Sus scrofa: one gene and its partners. The protein of the gene in region 2 interacts with the protein of the main gene of each other region in a biochemical or structural test. Links are inferred from orthologs where the notes say so. Each region holds a gene or a part of one and is shown on either strand. Other genes may lie near its edges.

Region 1 (5,830 bases), on a different chromosome or scaffold from region 2:
TTCCTTATTGGAAAAATGGTCCCAATGCAGTGTTGTGATTTGTTTGGCCAGCATTTAAAATGCTTCACAAATGTCTGGGTAGGTCCTTGTATTTGTCCTTACACTCTGCTGATATGATTGCATTGAGATGTTATTCCATATCTTCAAGCAAGCGATTCTCTTGTCAAACTATGGTGCGTTCAAGCCAATTTATTTGTAGAAGGCGGAGTCCATGTCCCAGTGGCAAAAATACTTATTGGAGGGGTAGAGAACTCAAGTTTTACTTCTCGACTTTCTTTGCAATTGGGAGAGCCATGACTAGGTTTTTGAAAACAAGTGAATTATTCACTGGAAGAAAGAGCATCTTGAGTTGTATTTTCATTGCATCTTGGGTGTTAAGATCTTACTGTTTGGCGTTTTACCAGATTTCTGTTGTTGACTGTGGCAGCGCTGATGTGCTCCTCATTGTGGAAGTGTGGCAGGTGATATGGGGGGCGGTTCTGAGGTCCCTGGCATGGGCTGCCTCCTGCACTTGTGCCGTGACCACCTCAGCAGGGGCCGTGGGGCAGGGGCGCCCAGTGCCTTTTGAGAGGGAGCTGAGGCTGCACTTAACGCTCAGCAGAGTCCTGGATGGTGTGCTATCTGGGAGTGAGGTGCGGCTGGAAGTCCTTTCTGATGCACACTGTACAGTCAGGAACCTCAGGAATGGCAGAAATGGTCCATGGCTCCAGCCCCCTGGGTCCTGATCATCTGAGGCCGTCAGCCAGTGAGAGGTATTTGCCCAGAACTGGAGCTGGCCCGTCTCCCCAGATGGTCACTGCTTCCTCTCTCTTTCTCTTCCTCTGTTTTTCTCTTCCTCTTCCTCTCATTCTTCTTTCTCTGTTTCTCACCCTCTAGGTCTGTTCTCTCCCTTTCTTTTCTTTCCCTCTTTCCTTTTTACCTCTCTCCCATCCTCACTCTCTGACGTTCCCAGTTTTAGAGGAGCTGAGCATCAGCCTGAGAAGGTTTCATGACCCTTCCCTCTGGTTCCTCATGAGTCTTTCTGGCCGGAATCCTCTCAGTCAAGGTGAGCAGGTGTATTCCTCTCAGGGAGCGATGAGGACAGATCTTCAGTGACTGCTCTGACTACGGAGAGGGTCGTCACTGGGCTCACGGGTCCTCAGAAGACCTTTCTCGCCACCGTCTTCTTCCACAAACCCAGAAGGCGGGCAGAAAGTTCTGCTACCTTTCATTCCGGACATGATCATAGCTGTATTCTCCCTCTTGTCTTTCTAATTTTAGATTGAGGAAACTCGACTCAACATTGACAAGATCTCAGAGCATGTGGAGGAAGCTAAGAAACTCTACAGCATCATTCTCTCTGCGCCCATTCCAGAGCCAAGTGGGTGTTGACTCAGGGCTGAATCACCCGACCATGACCCTTGGCCACTGGGGCTGGGCCTCGGCCAGCAGGGGAGGGGATGTGTTACCTCACACTGATGTCTGGATCACGTCATCACCCACCCCCCCTCACCCACTTCTGACTCACACTGCCCTGACCGCCATCAGCGCTTCTCTTCATGGTTCCCCTCAACCTGTTTTGCCAAACCTCTGCTTCCCAACCCTCTGTCTCATGACTGGCAATGACTCTGCTGCTCAAATACCTCATCTCTGCCCCACCGCTGCTCTTGTGCCATTTCCTCCACCTGAAATGCCCCCCCACCCCCCCCCATTTTTCCATGAACTGTTTTTATTCTGTAAGTCTGAGTAGGGTGCCTGGAAAAAAAATGCCTGTTAAAAATAAGCCCTCTGTGATCCTAAGGAGGATGCCTGGGGAGCCCACCGGGATGTGCGCTGCTCTGGGTGGAGAGCGCTGAAAAAGCACCCCATCTCTTCCATTGATTGTTGTAGCTGACTAAGCAATCAGTCTTTTCTACCTGCCTGATTCCACCTGCCTTTTTTTTTTATCCAGAAACCAAGGATGACCTGGAGCAGCTCACGACTGAGATCAAGAAAAGGGCCAACAACGTCCGGAACAAACTGAAGAGTAAGAAGGCAGCAGGGGGTTCAGGCAGCTCCCCCCTCCCACCCCCATCCATCTCACGGCCTCTGGGTCCAACTCTTCTGGACCGAGACTCTTCCCGATGGGAGTGACACTCTTTGTGCCATCTTTGTTCGTGGTCTGGGCACTGTCCCTGGAATAGACCTATTCTAGTCCCAGAAATTCTGTCTGCTCTTGGGTCATGACTGTGGCTGGAGGAGTCCGGAGTGGAAGTTTGGAGGCGGGAATGAAAGTGTGCTTTCAGCTGCTGAATATTTGTGTGACTTGGTCCTTAAACTTAGTCCGTCAACTTTTTTCCTCCTGGTCCCGATTCTTCGGCACCTGCAGACACATGAATAGTGGTGTTGGTTATCTCTGGATGCCGGAGAGGTTGTTCAGTCTACAGATATTTCTTGGGGACCAGGTGTCTCACCCTCCATTTCCACCACCCCCACCCCTTGGCTTAGGGCATTCCTCGGTGAAGCCACTCTCATAGAGTTGGTTCCCCTGGGGCCCAGAAGTCATAAGTCATTTGCATTCTTGCCTCATTGTATTTGGTGACGAGTGCTTGCTGTTGGTCAGAGTATGAAAGTGGCATTGCTCAGCCTAAGTAATCAGTTCTCAGCCAAAGCAGACGGCGCTACCTGTTTTCACGGGGGTGGAGGTGGAGGTTGCTAGTGGCAGCTTCCATCTGTAGCACCGATCATGTGCCAAGCCCTCAGTGGGCATCCTTCTTTCATTTCCACATCAGAATCGCCAGAGAGGGGCACTGCTCTTTATTCCATCTTACAGATGAGAGAATGGGAACACAGGTTAAGTGGCTTTTCCAGAGGTAGACGGCTAGTAGGTGGCGGGGCAAGGATTTGAGCCCATGTCTCTTGATGACAGAGACAGAGTGGCTGACCCCTGAGCTGAGATGTAGCTGAGGAAGGCCTGTGCCTGGGAAAGGCGTGGAGTGTGCGTCCTGTGGCTCACGAGGGAGCTGGCCTTCCGAGACGGGGCCTGCCTGCTGTCACGTCTCCTGGCCCAGGTGTGAGAATGAGAGTCAGGGTTGCATTGTGCAGCGTGTGTCCTGGCAGAGAGCAGCAGATGCCTTGCTAGAACGTCCTTCTCTCCCACCCAGGCATGGAGAGGCATATCGAAGAAGACGAGGTCCGGTCGTCAGCAGACCTTCGGATTCGGAAATCCCAGGTGAGAGTTTCCCTGGTCTAACGATCATCTAGTCCGATCTTTTTTTTATTTATTTTTTTCCTAGCTTTTTAATCTATTTATTTTTATTTATAAAACTTTTTATTGAGGAGTTTCCGTTGTGGCGCAGTGGAAACGCATCTGACTAGTATCTATGAGGACGTAGGTTTGATCCCTGGCCTCGCTCAGTGGGTTAAGGATCCAGTGTTGCCAGGAGTTTTGGTGTAGGTTGCAGATGTGGCGCAGATCTCGCGTTGCTGTGGCTGTGGTGTAGGCCGGCAGCTGTAGCTCCATTTCAACTCCTAATCTAGGAACCTCCATATGCCACAAGTGTAGCCCTAAAAAGCAAAAAAAAAAAAAAAAAAAAAAAAAAAAATTTTTATTGAAGTATGGTTGATTTACAATATTGTGTTAGTTTCTGGTGCGTAGTAGCAAAGCGATTCAGTTTGTATATATGAATTAAGGAGGCTCTTCAGGGGAGTTCCTGTCGTGGCTCAGTGGTTAATGAATCCAACTAGGAACCATGAGGTTGCAGGTTCGATCCCTGGCCAGTGGGTTAAGGATTCCGTGTTGCCGTGAGCTGTGGTGTAGGTTGCAGATGCCGCTCGAATCGCGCGTAGCTGTGGCTCTGGTGTAGGCTGGCGGCTACAGCTCCGATTTGACCCCTAACCTTGAACCTCCATATGCCTCGGGAGTAGCCCAAGAATGGCAAAAAAGACCAAAAAAAAAAAAAAAAAAAAAAAAAAAAAGAAAGAGGCTTTTCAGACTTAATGGGGGGGGGGGCAGTTGAGTGTTTTATTTATTTATTTATTTTTTTGTCTTTTTGTCTTTTGTTGTTGTTGTTGTTGCTATTTCTTGGGCTGCCCCCGCGGCATATGGAGGTTCCCAGGCTAGGGGTTGAATCGGAGCTGTAGCCACCGGCCTACGCCAGAGCCACAGCAACGCAGGATCCGAGCCGCGTCTGCAACCTACACCACAGCTCACGGCAACGCCAGATCGTTAACCCACTGAGCAAGGGCAGGGACCGAACCCGCAACCTCATGGTTCCTAGTCGGATTCGTTAACCATTGCGCCACGACGGGAACTCCGAGTGTTTTAAATTAGTGGGGTAGGAGTTCTCATCATGGCTCAGAGAAACAGTATCCACAAGGACGCAGGTTTGATCCCTGGCCTCGCTCAGTGGGTTAAAGATCCAGCACTGCCATGAGCTGTGGTGTAGGTTGAAGACATGGCTTGGGTCTGGCCTTGCTGTGGTTGTGCTATAGGCTGGCAGCTATAGCTCCAATTCAGCCGCTAGCCTGGGAACCTCCATATGCTGCAAGTGTGACCCTAAAAATACCAAAAAAAAAAAAAGTAGTAAGGTGTGGTTAGTTGGGGTGAGTATCCTGGGAGATATGTATATATTTCTTTCTCAGATTCTTTTTCATTATGGGTTATTATAAGATATTGGATATAGTTCCCCTGCTGTACAGTAAATCCTTGTTGTTTATTTCATATACAGCAGTGTGTATCTGTTAATCCCAGACTCTTAATTTATTCCCCCCCCTTTCCCTTTGGTAATTATAAGTTTGTTTTCTATGTCTGTGAATCTGTTCATTTGTATTATTTTTTAGAATCCAACTATAAGTGATATCATATAATATTTGTCTTTGTCTGACTTACTTAGTATGATAATCTCTAGTTCCATCCTTGTTGTTGCAAATGGTATTATTTCATTTTCATTCCTTTTCATGGCTGAGTAGTGTTTCATGGTATGTATACGTACCACTTCTTCACCTGTTCATCTGTTATTTCCCTGTCTTGGTTATTATAAATAGCATTGCTCTGAACATAGGGATGCATGTATCCTTTTGAATTAGTTTTGTCCAGATAGATGCCCACGAATGAGATGGCTGGGTCATATGGTAGTTGTATATTTAGTTTTTAAAGGAACCTCCATACTGTTTTCCGTAGTGGCTGCATGAATTTACATTCCCACCATCATGTAGGGGGGTTCTCTTTTCTAGCAGTGGAGTCTTAAAAAAAAACAAAAAAACAAAACAGCTCTTGTTTGGAATTCAGTTTGAAGAGCTGGTAGAGGAGAGCTGCCCAGGTTGAAGTAGGGGACGGGGTCGAGTCTGGCCCTGGTGGCCCCTCTCACACTCTCCTCTAGGGAGGCCTCTGAGGCTCCCAGAGGCAGCTTAGGGTTGAGCGTGCCTCCCTGGTTTACAGCTGAGGAAACTAAAGTGTTCCTTCCGAAGATTGTTGGTCATCATTTGTCCTGTTTGGTGGTCATCAGACACATGATCCTTGTCCTTGAAGAAATGGCACGATGTTCAAGTGGCACAAGGAAACTTGACACAAGACCCCCAGGAAAGCCGTGTAGAAAGACATGCTGAAACGCACATGCCCTCAGCCTCAGATGAGCTCGGGGAGATCTGGGGTGCCCAGAGGCGGCTGGGCCATGGATGGGCAAGAGTGCCACTGTGGGAGTTCCCCTTGTGGCTCAGTGGGTTAAGAACCCAACATAGTGTGCATGAGGTTGTGGGTTTGATCTTTGGCCACAACAAAAAAGTAAAAAGAGTGCCACCATGTACAGGCCCAGGAAGAGATTCTCCTTAGAGGCATGGGGGCAAAAGTGGTGTGTGTGTGGGTGTGTGTGTG
Region 2 (5,830 bases):
TTCTCATGATGGTACCAGAGGATATTTTGAAGCAAGGAGAGCATCAGCTTACTCTTTGGGTATTCTTAAAGGACCTGGGAGGAGCCGTTTTCAATAAGTGTCTGTGATGGCCACCAAAATCATTTTTGAAGCATACCAATATTCCAGACATACAATATCTGACACAAAAGGCACCATATCTTTATGATATTATATAATAGAAGTGCTTTTAGAAAAAAAATTCTGAGATAATTTTTTGTGAGATAATCTTTTTTTAGATGTCTTCCCAGTATTTGGAGAACACGTCTGTGTTTATTCTATTTATATGCTTTAGGACTTTATTTATGCAATCCATCTCATTCCAGTTTTCATATTTCTATTTAGAAACTCCTAAACTCGCTGGTATGCTCAAAATATGTTACACAATTTGCCCTTCTGAGAAAACCAGGATGCCCTCCAACAAACAAGTCAGTAAGAGAGGTAGACGGAGCTGTTTAGCCCACCCTTCTGAACACTCTGGAAATCTCAACTTCAGACCATGGCAGGTAGCTTTTAGGGCACAGCACAGACTTCCAGAAATGAATACACTTCTTCATATTGGCATCCTGCTCTGATCGCAGATTTGAACTGTTCTCTAACATCTTTCAGATGAGAACCCATGTTGTGAAGCCTGGAAAGCCCTACTGGAAGTCAAGGTCTCAGTTTTCAAATGCCGTATTTCCTTGTTGATGGGAGAATTTGAGGAGTGCTAAAAGCTTCAGCATTTAACGTATTTCATCGTATACATGTGCATGGCATCTTCCACTGACAACTTTATTTATTTTTTTCACTGACAACTTTAAATCCAAGTTTGAACATCACTCTGTTGTTTCCTTAGCAACAGTTCCCATGAAGATCTGATATAAACTCGCCCTAATTTTAGTAGTTTTTTGAAAGAATCATACCATTTTAACCTTAGAAAATTATATATAAAAATACTTTAAATCAGAAAGCAAGGTTTTTTGTTTTTCTTTTTAGGGCCACAACTGTGGCATACGGAAATTCCCAGGCTAGAGGTCGAATTGGAGCTACAGCTGTCGGCCTACGCCACAGCCACAGCAGTGCCGGATTGGAGCCGTGTCTGCGACACATTACGGCAACACCAGATCCTTAACCCACTGAGTGGGGCCAGGAATCGAACCTGCATATTCATAGATACTAGTCAGGTTGGATTCCACTGAGCCCAGCTGGAACTCCAGAAAGCAAGGTGTTTAAATAGACAAAGTAACTTCTTGACAGTCCATGGGAATGTATGGAAAATTGCATTGTTTTGGACTCCCAAAACTTGACTGTTAATTGAAGGGATGAGAAAGGATTGTGACTGACAGAGTTGGGTGAAGCTATTTTTGTGGTCATGAGAGAAGTACCAGAAGATTCTCTTCAGTCCTACAATGTGATTTTAACCTTAGATATGCAGGAAGCCTTTGCACTTCCTATTAACAGTAGAAAGAACTTGTACAAGAAGGTAGAAGTCTACCAATGACTGTGTAACTCCTGTAACCTGTTTCATTTGGGGCAATGTTGAGTTGAAATGGACTTTATCTAACTCATATCTAGATTGTCATTTTGATGAGGGGAAAAAAAACCCCACTAGTTATTTGAAGGTAACTAGACCCCTTCCCCACTTAAGCAACTCAACATTCAAAGATGACATAAAGGCTCTTTCCTATTCACTTGCCTGACTTTTTGAAAGCTTATAAAACTTAGAGCTGCGTCTGTCTTTGCCTGTGCAGTAAATCAGCCCCAGAATGAAAGGTTTTCCTTAAAGAAGAGAACTGGAAATGCAAAGTGGCAGAATTAAGATGTCACTTGCCTTTCCAGGAAGACTTACGCTTGCTTAAAGCCCAGCTCTATCAGTAAAGGTTTGACCCCTCTTTCTTAGCAGAACTTCTCTTTCTGGGACTCTAATTGAGTCTGAGATACATTATCTTCCTACATCTGTGAGTAAATTGGGCCCATTGATAGAAAATAACTACTTTTCTTTTTTTTTTTTGAAATCATTTTCCTGTTGGAAGGTAAGCTGGCAATTACCTCTTAGTTCATTTTTCTGGACCATAATGCATTAGGTCCATTTGTGTTGGCTCTAGTGCTTTTTGAGACTCTCAATATTGTTCTAAAATCTATTGATTTGCACAGCTTTCAAAGCTTTAGCATTTCAAAGGCTCTTAACAATGATAAGTATGTCAGGTCTTGTGAAAGTAAGCAGAGGACAAATATTTGTCAACCAACACTGACATCTGACATTATTATGCAGTTCAATACTGAGTAGGCAAAGTATCATGCAATCAAATAGTTTTTAATATAATGTATATAGAACACAATAGGGCAAATCATTCCTTTTATGTCTATTCATGCCTTTCTCAAGTCAGCAGAGAATGCTTAGGTACCAAGAAATTGAGTATTTAGCTTTGTGATTCAAGAGATCTCAAAAAACACCCTTCTTCCCCTACCAAAGTGGAGTAAATTGTTGAAAAGAAACTCAGGGTTTCAGACTCAAAACATCAGCACCTTCCAAGGAATAATCTCACACAATATATGATTAGCTGAGTAGAATTGATTATAGATGCACAACTGCCTTTAAACTTACAATGTGTGTATTTCTCCCTTGTTAACATTTGGACATTTTAAGAGATTACAAGCAATATTTAGGACTCTACTGATTGGTGAGGGGGTGGAATACAAAGATACAGAAGCTGTATCAGATGCATATAGTGTAGAATATCAGGGTTTGGTGCCCATATCTTTTTACCAAAGCTTTTCAGCGTTTCCTTCTGGGCCCTCCTAATCTCAAGACCCCGAACCCACCCTTTTCCATTATATTGTCCCCACTCTTCCTTAATGCCTCTTATTGACACGAGGGGCTCAATCTTAGATTGACATCTGGTGTCCTCCTGTGAACTCAACTTCCTCAGGTTATGTTTCCACTTTGAGATCTGGACATGTGCACCACTGACCTAGAAATGGAATCTGGGCCTTTTTGAACTATCATTAAAGCTTTGGCACTTCCATTTCCTGACTCTATTCCTACATCATCTCCATTTGACAAGCTCCTAACCATCCTTAGAGACTCAATACAAATTCGACTTTTTTGGGGGAGATTTCCCCATCTACTGAACCCTGAAGTCTTTCCTCATCTAACCTCATTTAGCACTGGATGTGTGGCTTTCTTGGCAAATTATATTTTCATCTGGAAATTCACTGTTCTAAGTTTCTTGGCTGTAAGGATGCTGTTTCTCTCATCCTAATATGCCCAGCAGTTGCCTAAAATAAAGATGCCCTTGGAGGACTATCTGCTAGATTAAATTCTACCCTGGTATTTACTTCTGTGCTGCTGGATTTTTGTCTTGGAAAATTAGACAATTTTTGGATTATCTTTCAGTGCCTAAACCTAAAGTCATGGCGTGAGGGTCTTGTGATGCCCTTCACCCTTCCTCAGTGGTTATTTCAGAGGAAGTGATGAGCAAAGGAAACATACTGACAGCCATGCACCCACCTTCTCCATGATCCTGTCGATCTGGCGGTTCTGTGTATCGATCTCATTGCCCATATCCAGGGCCATGTGACGGAGGTTTCCAATGATGCCGCTCACCTGCTCCAGGTTTTCATCCATTTCATTTTCTCGGGCATCATTTGTTACCCTGGGTATCAAAGAGCAGTTTTTAGAAGATAAAAGAAACTCAAATACCAAGGAGTCAAAGATGAGGGTAAATCTATAGACCTCTAGGTATCAACCCTATACTTTCTGAATCTCCGTTCAACACAGGAACACATTTTAGCTTTTGTACATTACAAGGTACTTTTAAAAATTGCATATTGATAAATTTCTACTTTTATTTTTTATTTTTATTTTTTTTGCTTCTTAGGGCTGCACCCACAGCCTATGGAGGTTCCCAGGCCAGGGGTCGAATCAGAGCTGCAGCTGCTGGCCTACACACAGCCACAGCAACGCAGGATCTGAGCCACATCTTCGACCTACACCACAGACCATGGCAACGCTGGATCCTTAACTCATTGAGTGAGGCCAGGGATTGAACCTGCGTCCTCATGGATCCTAGTCGGGTTCGTTAACCACTGAGCCACAAAGGAAACTCCTAAATTTCTACTTTTAAAGAAGGCATATTAAATAGATTAATTTACCTACTTTTCTAACTTCCACCAACACATCATCATTTCCTCCCTTCATATGTTTATCCCAATTTTCATTTTTTTTTTTTTAAGGGTAAAATCATTTTAGCTGGGAGGATTCTGGGTCAGAGAATGAAGATGGAACTAGTTAGAAACTGTATTTTTCTTTCTGAGATGTCAATCAAAATCTACAAGGGTCAAATTTAGAATGAAAGAGAAAGCTATTGAACTAAGTCACAGAATTTCTCCACCCATCTCCTTCTCCATTTGGGACCAATATCAAAGGGAAGAGGAATGTGAATTATAGTCTGCCCCTTAATCCTTTTTGCTCCCAAGAACTCCAAAGGGAGCTTTTTGTCAAGGTGGTTTTATTTGCTCAGATTTCAATGCTATGGGATTTTTGGTGGCACTGTGAATGGATGATCTCAAAGAAGAAGACTGGGACAGAAAATTACTGTTTCAGTTTAAGTGGGGAGGAAGGACTTGGCTCTCATTTTTTTCATAGTCCAGCTTGAAAGTTAAGAAGTAACTCTTTTTAGGAGTTCCCATCGTGTCGAAGTGGAAAAAATCCGGCTAGGAACCACGAGTTTTCGGGTTCCTTGCTCAGTAGGTTAAGGATCTGGTGTTGCCGTGAGCTGTGGTGTAGGTCATAGACATGGCTTGGATTCTGCATTGCTGTGCCTGTGCCATAGGTCAGCAGCTGTAGCTCCAATTGGCCCCCTAGCCTGGGAACCTCCATATGCCATGGGTGCGGCCCTAAAAAGCAAAAACAACAACAACAACAAAAAACCCTACCAAAAAACATTTTTCTACCACAGATGCTGATGGGCTAAAATATGTTTGGAAGGGTTAACATCCTTCCCCCATGGTAAATCCCAATGCAGATTGTTTCTCTAAGGTTTTAAAACCATTTAAATCCAGATAAAATTAAAAGGGAACTTTCTAGATCTCTTATGTAGAAAAAAAGAAGCTTATTTAAATGATCATCAGCAGCTGAGACATACTTCTAATTCCATGGTCCTCAGCCCTCTTTGCATTTCAGAATTACCTGAGCAGCTTTAAAACTACTGATATCCATGTCTCATTTCTAGAGATTCTGATTCACTGGGTTTGGATTAAGCCCAGGCACTGATACTTTTAAAAAATTGCACAGTTATTCTAATATGCAGTTAGGTTTGAGGACCCCTGGTCTAGTTTCCCTGGGAGCAGACAGAAACATGAATAGAATTGTCATCTGTGAAGTTCTGGGTAGACATCTGGACATTTATACATAAAGAGCAGTGACTCATCTTTTGAATCTGGGTATATAGATGGTTGATCAAACAGCTACCCTAGTTACTGCTGAGTCCTAGGGTAGTAACCTGCAAAAAAGAATAACTTTTCCCTTTTTTTTTTTTGGCAACAGGACTATTTGTTATTATTATTATTTTCTGATCTCTTGGGAGCTGAGTTTTAAATCAGCAGATGTGTGATTTGAGATTTTTAAATAGAGGTTAAATTAGCTTTTGTTTCCAGATCTCATAGGACCTGCTTAAGAAGTCAGGTCTCCTCATTATTCTCTGTGTGTACCCCTTGATCTGTTCTCTGGCTCAGAGGCTGACCTCTCTACAACCCTATCACCCAGGTTCTCTTATTTTGACTTTCTGTGGCCTCTGGCCAATGGCCATTGAGGGACCGGAGGGCAAGA
Region 3 (6,607 bases), on a different chromosome or scaffold from region 2:
TGTCTGCCTCTCACCCACACTCATCCCGAGACACCAAAATGACGCCCGCTGGGGGAGAGAAAACTCAGTCTCACGCGGAGCAGCCCCCGCCCCCAGCAGCACTGGGGTGAGGACGGGGTGCGGGCAGGGGGCACGCTGGGCCCGGGGCACCAGGGAGGGGCTGCCTGGAGGTGCCTGGCTGGCTGCACCCCTCCACGCCCAGGCTCCCAAGTGGCTGGTGAAGCCCTCCCCATCGCCATCGAAGGAGAAACTTTGGGCTGACACAGAACAAAGGGAATCCAGGCTGGCAATTACCCTGCTAATTCCAGCCATGTAGACAGCCAAATCAGATATTTCAGTTTTCCTACAAGCCCACCTCAGGCCTGAATTAGCCACCTAATTAATTATCTGTAACAGCCTGGGACTGGCTGGGTGGAACTCGGATCCCTCCTGCTGCCAGGATGCGGCCCGTCCCTGAATCACGTCCCAGTGACGTCATCATTATAATTAGACTCAACCTGCAGCCTATCCTTGACCACAAAATCTCAGGAAGGGTGGCCCTGGGCCAGGCTCAGTCTCTTCGGTTAATTCATGTTGAGTGGAAATGCCGCCACTTTCCAAGAGAAGCCACACGCGGGGCCCCTGTCTGGGCTCTGTGCCACTGGCCCTCGACCCTGCCCCTTGCGCCTAGCGTGACAGCGCCCACGGCACCCCGTCTCTGGTGAGGAGCGCTCAGTCCCTCCTGCCAAGGAGTGGCCTTGTCATGCTTCACCTGGCTCATGCCAGGCTGTGAAAGGCACTGGGTCAGGGCGTGGCCCACAGAGACCACGTGAGGTCCAAGGCTGGTGCCATCACCCAAAGAAGACATCTCTAACCGCAGAGTCAGGCCTGGGTTGCATCTGTACCAGTGTGGACCTCGGCCCGCTGCCCTGCCCACCTCCTGGGCCTGGGTCCCGGCCCACTGCGTTTACCACCTCCCCACCAGGCCAGGGTCTCTGGCCGTGGAGATGGCCTCCAGCCAAGCAGGTACAGGATTCCTTTCAAAAGCAGTCGGCAGGGCCGGAAGGGCTCCCTTCCCCCAGCACACACAAGAGGCTGCACTGCTCCATGGGGGAGGGCACACGAGTTACCCGGGGCCTCTTCTCTTGTCCCTGAGCTCAGCCAGCCCCGGCTCCCTGTACACACTGCTGGCCCCACCCCGGTGACACCATGAAGCCCTTGCTGGATGCCACCAGCCCATCTCTGCTCCTTACCCGCACTCCAGTGGCCGTAGCCACCCTGCAGCCTCTTGCAGCTCTGCTCACCAGAAGCAATGTCCTTGTGGGGGCCACCGGCTCTGGCCAGACTGGCCCCCGTTCCCCTCAACCTACCGTGGGGTGTCCTCCCAAGGCGGGGTGGAGGTGCTTCAGCTCTGCACATCCTGGTACTAGGTGTGCATACCCCCCGCCCCAAAGCTGGCCAAGGTGCTTCGGGAGGGGCTGCCTTTGGTCCCTGCCTCCCCCACTCTGTCCGGAGGGGCCTGCAGTGTGCTTTGGGTGTCATGTGACATTTGTGCTCAACCCCGCGTGTCCGCCTGCTGCTGGGGATGCAGCGGCCCCTCCTACCTCCCAGGGCCTGTTTCATCACGAACTCCATGGCGATGGCTTTGAGTCCTCAGTGGCTCCTTGGAGGGCCGTAGCTCACATTCGAGTGTGGCCAGAAGTCCTCTGCCTGGGGAGAGGACGTGGGCACAAGTCATCCTCCGACAGGGCGGGGGAGGACTTCTTCCTCGCACCTGCCCGGCTTCCCTGGGCATGGGTCTGGGGTCTGAGAGAGCATCATTCATGGTTCCCCCACACCTCAAGGCCAGACCACAGCACTGGGACGGGCACCCGAGGCCCCTGCAAAATAGTCTCCCCTGGCCTTGGGGTTTCTGATGCCAGCTTCTGGCTGCGAATGCAGGGAGGGGGGTGCAGCTCAGAGGAACCAGCCTGCGCCAAGTGGGGCAGGCCCAGGGGCGTTTGGAGGTGACTGGCTCTGCTGCCTCCTTGGTGGAACCCTGGGTCCATCTAAAGGTTGAGACCTGAGTGGGCGCTCCCTTTGGTTCCCAAGGAAAGAGTCTTCGGAGACCAGGTACCATCCAGGGGAGAGGCCGGCACCCAAGGCCACCAGCCCACAGCAGAGACTGAGGTGGAAAGGAGAAACTGCAGGGGGCCCAGCCTTCAGGAAACAAATAAAATGGGGGGGGGGCAGTCCATCCCTCCACATGCACTTGCGTGGATGGGGCTCTCCAGGGTCCAGGCCAGCTGGAGGTCTGGTGGGAGGTGCTTCCTATAAAACCTGCAGCTGCGGTGTGTCCCCTCCCCCCTTGTGAGGTCGCTCCTGGCAGGGAAACCCAGGTCCCTGGAGATGCGCTATTTGCGTTTTTTTCCCCTTCAGACGAAGGAGATCCGCGAGTGTGCGGGCTGCGGAGGGGGCAGGGGGCGGGAGTGCCCCTGCCTGTTCGCAAAGCGCTCGCGCGCAGGGGCGCCCTTGCCGCAACACAGATTCTCTTCCAAACTTCTCCCCTGGCTTCTGGTGGCGGGGTGGGGTGGAGGACTAGGGGGGGAAGAGGAAGCCTCAGGCCCAGACACAGAGAGACCAGGTGCCGCTGGAGCTTCCGCAGCCCTCCCACCGCCGCCCCGCGCGGTTCGGAGCTCCCGCGGCCGCCGTACCCCTTGGCTTTGCAGGAGATCGAGCTGCCCAGCTCAGCCAAGCAGCCCTCAGGCGGGAGCGCGCCAGAACATAGGGAAAAGAGAGAGAGAGAGAGAGAGAGAGAGAGAGAGAGAGAGAGAGGACGAGCGAGGGGAAGGGGAGATTCGAGCGGCAGGAGATGCGGGCCAAGGAGCAGGAAGGAGGGCCGGGACCCTGGAGCCGCTTCAGCACCGCGTCTGCGGACAGCGCCCGCCAGGGGCTCAGTGCGCGCCCAGCCTGGGCCGCGGAGGGGGCCGCAGGGCCGGGGAGGGGGCTGCGCGCGGGGACGCCGGTTACCTTCCCGGGGCCGCAGCGCGGGCGGGCTGGCGGGCGGTCAGCGGCAGAGCGCGCTCGGGCCGGCCGGTTCCATGTGGCGCGCCGGGAACTGCGGCGGCAGCTGAAGGGCACCGCGAGGAGGGCGCGTCACATGGAGGCGCTCCCCGCCCCCCGCCCGCGTCCGAGCGTGACGAGGAGGGCGGGGCAGCGGCGCGGGGCGGGCGCCCGCGGGGCGGGGGGCGGAGCCGCCCCCCACCCCCGCTCCCAAACCCGGCTCCCTGGCCGGATTCGCGGGTCTTGGGGCGCTGTCTCTCCGAGCCGGCGCGCACGACCCCGGCCCACCCATTAGTTCGGAATCCCGGATACGACCCCCAGCCCGCGCCATCCGATCCCCTTGCGCGTGGGTCCCGGGGGCTGCCCTCCCCCCGCGGACAGGGCCCCGCACACCCAACGCCTCCGCCCGTGAGGGGCACCCAGCGGGCGGACGGGTACGCGCGCGACTCCCCTGGGAAAAGTCCTTTCCAGTCCGGCCGCGGGTCGGGGGCGCCGTTTCCCGCGGTCTCCCTTTCTGCCCCCGCGCGCTCGCGAAGGAGTTCCCTGGCGACGGCGGCGACGGCGGTCGCTGTCGGGGTCCCGGACCCGCGCCGCTCTAGGGCCTCCGGCACCGCTGGGCAGGAGAAGGGAGCCCCCAGGCCCTGAAAACCCACACAACCGTTAGCGAGGAGCAGTCTGCACACCGGCCCGGACCTATTTTTCTGTGTAACAGAGTCGCAACGAAAGAGCCCCGCCGTTTCATTTCAGTGGGACAGGGTCCGAGAGACCCCCGCCTCCTCCGCCCCCTCCGCCCCTCCGCCCAGGGCCCCAAGCGAGGCGGGGACGCGCCAAGGTCACTGCGGACTGGCTGTGGCGCTCGCTGTCCCCGCAGCCCCGCCCCCGCGGGGCCGCCCCCTCCCCGGGCCTCCGGGATTTCCTCTGCGGCGGAAGCTGCGCTGCGGGGAGAGCGGGGTCGCTGCAAGGTCGGCGGCTGGGCCTCCGGTCCCGCCGCTGCTCTCGGGGTAGGAAGACTGTTGTGGGAGGGGCCCACGGTTCGGCAGGGGTCTGGGGTCTCTGCTGGCCTCCTGGTCAGCAGGTGGACACCCCTGGTGGCCCTGCGCTTTCCCCATCCCTCCCAGCTGAGTCATCAGGGCTCCTGGGCCTGTGGGGGCAGGGGCAGCTCCTGGAGACCCCCAACCCCAGGAGACCCCTGCTCAGGCCCCTCCCCAGGACTCACAGCCTGAACGCTGGAGGACGTGCCTGCGGGGGGGGGGGGGCTCCCGGGGGGGTGCTCTCCCCCCGCCCCGCGTCTGCTTGGCACCTGGGCTCCCAGCTCCCACCCCCGCCCGCTGTGCCCAGCAGGTGCAGGCAGGGCGGCACAGGCCAGCACTGCTTTGTGCGGGGGGGCAGCGGCACGCTGCACTCTGCATCTGCAGCCTCCCCAGCACTCTATCCATTCCTCCTGCTGATGGCTCCTGTCACCTAGATCGGGGTGAGGAAGTGCCAGGAGGGTGGGTGGGGCAGCTCAGAAGCTGGGGCCCTGGGACACACCCTGGCTGACCCAGGGGTGTGAGGAGTGCCTCCATTGCACCTCTATCCCCACCCTTCGGGGGAGGTGGGCCAAAGCCCCAGGGCTTCTGCAGGTCTGAGGACGGATGGGAGCGGCCGCCTGTTTGCATGTGTCTGAGGGTCTTGAGGGTCCAGCCTGAGCCCACAGGCTCTGCCCAGCCTGGGCCTTTGGTGTCCTGAGAACTTGGGTGTGGATGCCAGAGGGAGAGTGTGGGTCCAGGAAAGGGGCACGTCACTTTCCCCACTAGAGGCCCCCCGCCACTAGGTGGACCTGAGGACTGACCCACAGCTGACCTCCTGATGGTAACCCCGCAGAGGCCCCTGAGGTGACCCCAGCTGAGTCCAGGGCAGCCCCATGACCAATGACCCCAGTGGCCCGTTCAAGGCAGGGAGACACGCCACTGACCTTGGGGCTGCCAGGCTGGGTGTGGGGCTTCGTATGGGCAGGAGAGGGGAGTGCAGGTGTCCGTGAGCACAGGTTCCACCCCCCCCCCCCCCCCCGCCGATCCCGTGGCCCAGGCCTGGCTGAACTCCACACACCCCTGGGGCCCAGAAGCCAGAGGCCCTTCTGCTGGTCCTGCTGCCTGACCTTCTAGCCCTGTCTCTCCTTCCCTCCCTCTCCCTCCCTCTGGGGTCACCATTCAGAGGTCAGGTTTGAAGTCGCCAGCTCTGTCTCCGTCTCTGTGTATCTCTCCTTCCCTCTCTATCCATGTATCTGTCTGTTCCTCTGTCTCTGTCCTTCTGTCTCTCTGGCTCTTCCTCTGTCTCCCTCCATCTCTGTCTGTCTTGGTCTGTTGCTACTCCTCTTAGACCCACTGCACACACAGCTGCCCTCCTCAGACATCCAGGCCCCGGGCTGGGGCGGGGGGTGGGGAGGTGGGGGGCTCCCATGTGAAATAGACAAGGTTGGCCACAGTCCCAGGCCAGGGAGGCCAGGCAGTTGTGGAGTCAGGACTAGGGGCGGGGGGTGGGGGCAGGGGCTCTGGGCAGAAGGTGAGGACGGATGGGCCCAATGGCCACATGGGCTCCGGAGGCGACCCAGCCTCAGGGCCACATCCCAGGAGGCACTCATGGCCCTGTGAGTGCCCCAAAGAGGGCCTGGGTCCTGGACGGGTCCTCCCGAGGCAGGAGCTGAGCAGAAAACATCTGTAACAGCCAAGGGCACCCATCAGGATCCACGGGGCTGGAGACCCAGGATGGTGGTGGGGGCACACCTGTGGGCCGTCGGGGGGTGGCCAGAGGCCAGGCCAGGCAGGAGGAGGGTGCACGGAGCTGGAGAGATGGGGAGGGGTTCCAACCAAGCAGTCAGTTTTGGGGCGCGTGTGTTTGGCCAGAGCCAAACTCCGGGGCCCGGGCCAGCTGGCAGGACAGGGACAGAGCCCCTAGCTCAGTGCCCTGCGTATGCGAAAAATCCAGAAAGTGGCCCTGACAGCCAGGAACCCCTGACCCAAGGCGGGGTTTTGCTAAAGCCAAGGCCGCATGGTCTGAGACCACCCCCCCCGGAGGCCCCCCCGGTAGCCTCCATGGGGTCACTCCAGATGGCAGAGAGGGGAGGCTGCCGCCTTGCTCCAGCCGCCCCCTCCCCCAGCCCCGCGGCAAGCCCCCATCTGATGGCCCTCCACTTCCTCCAGGGAGGCCTGGTGCCTGCTGTCTCCCGAAGCCGCTCCTGTGCCCCAGGACACTCAGGGTTCCTCCAGGTTGTCCTTCAGCCCTGGCAAGAGGGCCGCAGGCCCCGCAGGAAGCACAGGACAAGCTCTGGCGCGCACACACTGCACTCACCAGAAACTTCACATGCAAGCTTAATACTCTAACACCGGGAACAGAATGATGCGGTCCCAGGACCGGCGCGTGCCCACTGCCATGCTCCTGCTGGATTTCATCACTCCTTGAAGGGTAACAACACGTGAAAATACACGCGTAGTGAGATGAGACATCATCACAGTTGTCGGCGAGCTGGGCCGGAGTGGCTCTGCATGGAGGCCCCAGGGCCCTCTCCCCAGCCAGGTGGGTCAGCGCCGGGAGCTGGTCTTCACAGGCT

The links.
Region 1: the proteins of SNAP25 (region 2) and STX3 form a complex in vitro, tested with the Homo sapiens proteins (2 studies listed by BioGRID). The link is inferred for Sus scrofa from reciprocal best matches to the Homo sapiens genes SNAP25 and STX3.
Region 3: the proteins of SNAP25 (region 2) and CPLX1 are reported together in a solved structure, tested with the Homo sapiens proteins (2 studies listed by BioGRID, with this or other methods). The link is inferred for Sus scrofa from reciprocal best matches to the Homo sapiens genes SNAP25 and CPLX1.

What each region holds. Positions count from the first base shown.
Region 1 is NC_010444.4:11,708,144-11,713,973, reverse strand, and holds part of STX3 (syntaxin-3), read left to right. Parts: intron 1-1,260; coding exon 1,261-1,360; intron 1,361-1,930; coding exon 1,931-2,005; intron 2,006-3,122; coding exon 3,123-3,190; intron 3,191-5,830. UniProt on the Homo sapiens protein: Potentially involved in docking of synaptic vesicles at presynaptic active zones. Apical receptor involved in membrane fusion of apical vesicles.
Region 2 is NC_010459.5:19,217,250-19,223,079, reverse strand, and holds part of SNAP25 (synaptosomal-associated protein 25), read right to left. Parts: intron 3,657-5,830; coding exon 3,512-3,656; intron 1-3,511.
Region 3 is NC_010450.4:228,129-234,735, forward strand, and holds the start of CPLX1 (complexin-1), read right to left. Parts: upstream 3,594-6,607; 5' UTR 3,473-3,593; intron 3,146-3,472; exon of another isoform or gene 2,989-3,145; intron 1,690-2,988; 5' UTR 1,615-1,689; coding exon 1,584-1,614; intron 1-1,583. UniProt on the Homo sapiens protein: Positively regulates a late step in exocytosis of various cytoplasmic vesicles, such as synaptic vesicles and other secretory vesicles.